Drosophila melanogaster: one gene and its partner. The protein of the gene in region 1 purifies or fractionates together with the protein of each later gene. This does not show direct contact. Each region holds a gene or a part of one and is shown on either strand. Other genes may lie near its edges.

Region 1 (3,858 bases):
TGATGGCCGAACGGTTTGGACCATTCCAGCAGGCAGCACCATTGGTGTACTTTTGTTGGGAATATTGCTTTGGCTCTCCACTCCATTTGTCCCAGCGACCCAGCGTGGTTTCAGGCCCACCGCTCCTCGACTTCTGGGAGGCCCGATCGAAGGGACAAAGGGTGTACACATACTCCCGATCTTCGAAATTGTAGCACTGGCCATCGTGCACGGCCCACTCCTCGGTCAGGCCGTAGCCCTTGTTGTTCTGGTCGTCGATCTCGTTAACCTCCTGCTGAATCTCGCGCAGGCTGCGCTCCACTTCCTCGAGAGCATTTCGCGCCTCATTGGCCTGCTGGATCAAACGCTGCGTCTCCGGATCGTAGTTAGGTGGCGTGGCTTCTTCCGCATCCGGAGAGGCTTCGCCAACGCCCACATCGGGTTCCTCATCATCGTACTGATCCTCCTCACCCTCTTCGTCGGCTTCAATATCATCATCGCCGGCGAGTTCAGCTTGTTCTGGAATAGGAAGAAAAAGAAATCAGAACTCAAAGAGTAAGAAATAGTATTCCTATTATCATTACCTTCGCTTAGCTTTGGTGGAGTGGGCTGGATCGACTCGGTGGTGACCTCTGGCTGCTGGGCAACTTCCTCCGGCTGCGGCGGCTGGAACAGACCCTCGGCCAGCATTTGCAGAGACTTAATACGCGGCCAGGCCAGCGTTACGAAAGCATCTAGATCCACTCGTTCGCGCTCGTCCAGGAAGTACTTGGCCTCCTCCACAGTTACCACGCCGTTGCGATCTCTGTCCAGATTCATGTCGACCATCAGTTCGGTAACTTCGACGAAGCCATCTTTGTTGGTGTCGTAGCGCACAAAGGTGAGCGTGGCCTCTTGGCGCATCTGTTGCGGCTCCCGCTCCGCCTGTGCGGTGTCAGCATCCACCTCGCGCTGTTGCTCCTTAAAGATTTCAATGGCTTCTGCCTCTAGAGCCTCAGCGGTTTGCTTGAGCTGCTCCTTTTCGGCGCGCAGCAGTTCCTGTTCCTTGCGTCGTTGATCTAGCTCAAGGCGGCGCGCCTCTCGCTCGGCCCTCATCTGCTTGCCACGGGTAATCATCTCCTGTCGCCGCTCAGCTCCACGTTTGTGCAGCTCCGCTGCATTCCGCCTTTGGACAGCCGCCGCTGCTCCGAGTTCCAAGCAGGTATTCGGGCAACCGACCGTCTCTGACTCGTCACTGCCATCGCAGCAGTCACAGATGCCGTCCTGCACCTGCGAACTGGGTATATTTACCGGCTGGTGGCCTTTGTTCACACAATGGAACTGGCCCTGCGGACAGGCCGCAGTGCCAGGTTCATCGCTTCCATCCGCACAGTCGCAGTAATCGTCGTTGATGTGGGAGAAGGGTATGGTGCGGCTGCCATCCAAGCAGGTCCAACTGTTTTCGCCCGCCCGAGGTTGGTACAGTGAAGCCTTGGCCAGCGGAACACCCAGCGGACGTGGAACTTCGCTGGCAGAGCCTACGTTGGTGGCCACCAGGGCCAGCAGGAGCGGTATTAGCAGCACTTGGCTAAGTTGCAAGCTTTGCATTTTGGCTGTGCTCAGTACTACTCCTAATTAATCTTCTAATTTGAGTTGCCTCCCGAGTGCTGTAAATCTTACGTGGAATTTGCTATGGTTTTTTACGAATCGTAAAATGCCGGTGCAGCACTATCGATGGCAATAGAGACAACTATCGATAGCAACGGGCAGTGGCGGGATTTGAAATGGCCGAAGGGATTTCGTTTGTATGACCGACACGGGGAAATTGGTTTGCTTATTTTAATTTGATTAAATTCCTTGAAAATTTCACGTATTATGTTATGATGCAGAATTACTTTCGCGCTGGTTTTTAGCACCTGACCACTGCACTGCTGACCAACTGTCTTTTCGGCAGTGTGGCAACGCTGCCAAATCAGCTGCCGGTTTGTTATTTAACAAAAGTGGAGGATCATAGAGCCCATAAAATAATGGAGTTCCTGACTAAAGTGTGGGCCAAAGAGGCAACAGCGCCCGAGGCAATAGAAGCCATCACCGGCGCAGCGCAAGAAAAACAAAATGCAAAGACTGAAAAAGCATCTGCCAGTAAGGAGACGAGCACCGAAGAAACCACCACTGCTCAAAAGGATTGGGGCTACGACCTTTATCCGGAGCGAAGGGGCGAAACCTTCAAGCCCAAATGGACACGAGTCCTGTTCGGCTTGGAGGGGCAGGAGAACATTGATCGTTTCAAGTGCGAGGAGAATGTGTACTGGTGTGTCAAAAATGGTCCGCTGGTCAAACTGATGATGGGAGCACTGAAAAGTTCCGGTTGTCCCATCGATCTGCGCCGACACATCTCATGCGAGGTGTGCGACCCCACAGTCACCGGCGGTTACGATCCCAAGCTCAACCAGATCGTGGTCTGCCAGAATATGGCCAGGAACAAGAGCATGGTCCATGGAGTGCTAACGCACGAGATGATTCACATGTTCGACTACTGCAATAACGACATGGACTTCCGCAACGTGGACCACCTGGCCTGCACAGAGATCAGGGCGGCAAACCTGGCGCATTGCTCCTTCTTGAGCGCCATGTTCCAAGGAGATGCCTCGCCATTTAATGTCAAGGAAGCGCATCAGGTGGCTTTCTTATATATTTTTATTAACCAAATGCTTAAGAAACTGAATCCAAATCTATTCTTCTTTTTTTCAGAACTGCGTCAAGTCCAAAGCCCTAGCTTCCGTGCTCGCTGTTCGCAATATTAGCAAAGCAGATGCCGTCGCTGCTGTGGAACGTGTCTTTCCCAAATGCTATGCAGACTTGGAGCCCATTGGCCGGAGAATCCGTCGCAATTCCACGGACCAGCAGAAGGCTTACATGGAGGCACCCATGTATGGCTATGATGTATATTAAATTGCTTTATATATGCCTTTTCTTTTTTAAGTACCCACCCCCACACAATGTTAAATAAAACTATGTTTTAAGCTCGGGACATTTTGAATGTCACACGGCCAGACGGTTTTATATTTAAACCTAATCGCTTGGTTATTTATTAAATTATGTACGATTAGCCATGAAATGTATCAAGTTCATGAGATAAATTCAATTAGTACTATATACCCAGCAGCTAAAACGTATATAAAACATGCTGTTAAGACTGATGCTTTTAGTTTAAGTTGCAAGAGCAGCAGGAGCAAAGGCATGGAGGATTGTGAAATAATTGGAATGATATTCGAAATCATTGGGGATATGCTGTTTGGCAGTAAGTGGGAGGACATGGGAGAAGTGGAGCTGGATAAGTAGTAAAAAAAAAGCGGACATTATAGTCAATTTATCAATAAATAAAGAGGAAATCACTTCATATTATTGCAGGTGATACCTCATCAGATGATGATTACGATGAGTCGAGCACCTAGATTATTATTATTTTAATAATCCGCGAACCTAATAGAAGTTATCAAATGGATTAATCCAAATAAACCATACAAAGTATAATTAACCTTTGAAATAATGCTATAAATACAAAACGAAAATTGTGAAACTACCAAAGTACAACCAACAATATGGACTGTTGTGAGCTGCCGGAAATATTTTTGAGCTTCCTCAACGACCTTTTCTTCTCAGACATAAGTAATGAATTTGTAATGCTATCAAAACAGGGCTTTTTAATCATATTACTATTTTATTTTCATTTTTTGTTTGTAAAGCTGATGCGGAGTACTTGGGCGATTATTACGACAACTACAATTGAAATAGACCAGCGATCGTGAGCAAATAAAAAATTTGATATGAGCATTTACCTTTAAAAGCTTTTCAATACACAAATGTGTACTCGTATATTTGTCCCATTTCTGACCCAGA
Region 2 (3,128 bases), on another chromosome or scaffold:
TAACCCTGAATCATAAAAATGTTTAGACAACAAACTGAGGCTGGGCGGGTCATCATTCATTTGGCCCAAGTAAATATGGCCTGGCCAACGAGTGAATGTTATCAGTATTTTGGAATCTGCTGTGACCCAAATGTGTGGTGGTTCATAGCCAGAAGCTCGGGTAGCAAAATCCCTGCTGACTTAGGAAAGTTTAAAGCACAACGAAAATTATTAACAAACTGCACAGCCTTCAGAAAATTAATCTTGGCCGATTGAAAGCTAAAAACTATACATTTAAACCACACGCCATTTCACACACTACTTTACACAAACTACTTACTTTGTAACTATGGATAATAAAGTGCAAGTCAGTATTCGATGTTAATGGAAAATTTTATTTGACAATCAGATTGTGGGCTGTAGTTCGAACTTCAGAGTTATGTAAGCATATCTAAGAACTTTTAACAGAGGCCAAAAAATTCGCAGATCCCAGTTATTCCTTTTAACTAGGACAGCTTACGCTAATTAAAAATATACTTTAAAGCCACCTGAAGCTTAATTTTTCCCAAATTAAATCTGAAATTATATATTGATATGTAAGAACCTGACAACAAGAAATAACCCGCAAGTCAGCATGGCTAGGTTGTTTCTCAGTGCAGCCAAGTAGATTGAAAGGGAATCACTAAACAAAGTCCAAAGTCCATCATCGCAAATTGTATAAATGCTGACTCGACGAGACATTTAGCCAACAGTTTCTATTCTAAAAGATTCTACACAGCAGATTACGATCAGCATCATGAAAGTATTCTTTGTGTTTGCCGCCCTTGCAGCTCTATCTTTGGCATCTGCCGTGGTAGGTCCTTTTGCTTGATTTCCATAAGTTCTATAAAGATTTGTTCCTCTTAACAGGGGCTAACTGATTCCCAAAAGGCTGAGGCAAAGCAGAGAGCCAAGGCCTGCGTCAAACAGGAGGGAATCACGAAGGAGCAAGCTATTGCCCTGCGGTCTGGAAACTTTGCAGACTCCGATCCAAAGGTAAAGTGCTTCGCCAACTGCTTCCTGGAGCAGACCGGCCTGGTGGCCAATGGGCAGATAAAACCTGACGTGGTTTTGGCCAAACTAGGTCCCATCGCCGGCGAAGCCAATGTCAAGGAGGTGCAGGCCAAGTGTGACTCGACCAAGGGAGCCGACAAGTGCGACACTAGCTATCTGCTGTACAAGTGCTACTACGAAAACCACGCCCAATTCTAAGAAAACCTTTTTTGATTTTCAAAAGAATATTTGTTTCTTTGATTACCAGTTATTCTCAATAAAAATTAGATCAGGCTTCCCAAATAGGCGTGCAATCAATTTAAGAAAAAGCTTGAAATTGTTAATAGGCGTGCACATAGACAGTCAGCAAAATCTATTTAAAGCGCATCTTCAGTATTGAATTTTAAAATCATAAAATGAACGGAACGCTTGCTCTAGTGTTTTTAGCCTGCATTTTCGTTCTGTCATATTCCAATGTAAGTGACTATTTATTATACTGCAACCATATTTATTTCTTGACATTGCCAGCCCGTACTGGAAAGTAATGAAAGTGAATTTCTTTCTGGTCTTTCTATTAAGTACAAAGAGCTAAAAATACATTAAATGGTTTTGTGACAGGTTAAATAACAAGTGGGTAACAGTCCCTGGAAACCGAAACCAAGCGTTGATAATATGATTTTTTGAGTTTCGAGTTGAGGATAAAGTGTAAATAGGCATGGCTAATGTACGAACTATAAAAGCCAGGAAAGATAGCTAATTTATGTTCTTGCACACAAAACTATCATTATGAAAGTATTCCTGTTGTTCATTTTCATCTCTGCTATCTGGCTCCAAGCATTTTGTATGGTAAGCAATCGCAATAATGTTGAAATTCCATTCTTTGAAATGTCCAAGTTTTAGAAATCTTCTGAAAAAATAAAAGCCTGCTTGAAACGGCAGCTGGGGTATACAATTACAGAAAATACAAAATTTGATGCTAAAGAAGACTCTCTTCAAAGCAAGTGTTTTTATCACTGCTTACTGGAAGTGAAAGGTGTTATTGCAAATGATGCGATCAGTTCGGAGCAACCGAGGAAAGTACTTGAAAAAAAGTATGGCATTACTGACACAGATGAATTGGAAAAGGCTGAAGAAAAGTGTCATTCCATCAAGGCTTCAGGAAAATGTGAATTGGGCTACGAAATCTTGAAATGCTATCAGTCCATTACCAAGCATTAGACTTCTAAACATGCTATTATGTACCTGGTGTTCGGATAAACATTCAACTTATGCACATCACACTTTAAAACGTTAATTTTTGAGAAACTTCACCAATGTACATAATAAAGTGTAAAACCGAAAACTAACTAAATATAAAATGTTATTTCTGGATCAAGAAGCCTTTGAATTTATGGAACTCTATGCCAAATGTGATTTTACCGTAATATTTTCAGTAGTAAAAAGGCTCTAGTCGTCATCACACTGTAGTCCCAAAAATTTTCGGATCAAAATTTTCTTGATATTTATCTAGGCTAAAATTTAAGTTATCCGTAAGCTTTATTATGTCCAGCTATAGAAGATTATTCCGGGCAAAGCGCCTAATGAATTTGATGAAGGCTAATCGCGGAATGACCAGTACTGGCAAGCAACCGATTTTCGATGTGGAGACTAGAAAAGACTTTGAGCAACGTGTGATCAATAGCGATCGGCCGGTGGTTGTGGACTTTCATGCCAGGTGAGCTTAGCCTTCAGTTAAATAGAACCATGTTAAGACATTGTTCCGCCTTCCTGATCAGCTGGTGCTGTCCATGCAAGGCTCTGGCCCCTCGACTGGAGAACGTTGTGTCCGAGCAGGAAGGTCGAGTGAGATTGGCCCGGGTCGATATTGATGAGCATGGGGAACTGGCCCTTGACTACAACGTGGGGTCCGTTCCTTCACTGGTGGTCATCAGCAACGGCAAGGTGGTAAATCGAATGGTTGGCCTGCAGACCAGCGAATACCTACGCAAGTGGCTCCATAAGGCGGTGCCACACCCACCACCTGAGGATACGGAAAACTAGATCAGCATGTCACTAGGGGAGTCTTATTAAACCACGTTCTCAGCAACACGTTTTTAATTAATTTTCGATTTAACAAG

What was found.
Region 2: the proteins of CG5131 (region 1) and Obp56f purify together in Drosophila melanogaster (affinity purification with mass spectrometry, with the first as the bait; one large-scale study listed by BioGRID). This does not show direct contact.

The regions. Positions count from the first base shown.
Region 1 is NT_033779.5:17,482,593-17,486,450, forward strand, and holds CG5131 (uncharacterized protein), read left to right. Parts: upstream 1-1,908; 5' UTR 1,909-1,985; coding exon 1,986-2,636; intron 2,637-2,709; coding exon 2,710-2,910; 3' UTR 2,911-3,032; downstream 3,033-3,858. Other genes in the region: GCS2beta (glucosidase 2 beta subunit), read right to left, coding at 1-498, 564-1,566; CG43221 (uncharacterized protein), read left to right, coding at 3,199-3,259, 3,370-3,413; CG43645 (uncharacterized protein), read left to right, coding at 3,561-3,627, 3,705-3,748.
Region 2 is NT_033778.4:19,711,622-19,714,749, forward strand, and holds Obp56f (Odorant-binding protein 56f), read left to right. Parts: upstream 1-1,773; 5' UTR 1,774-1,797; coding exon 1,798-1,857; intron 1,858-1,911; coding exon 1,912-2,229; 3' UTR 2,230-2,355; downstream 2,356-3,128. Other genes in the region: Obp56e (Odorant-binding protein 56e), read left to right, coding at 776-832, 889-1,230; CG8517 (uncharacterized protein), read left to right, coding at 2,553-2,725, 2,787-3,051.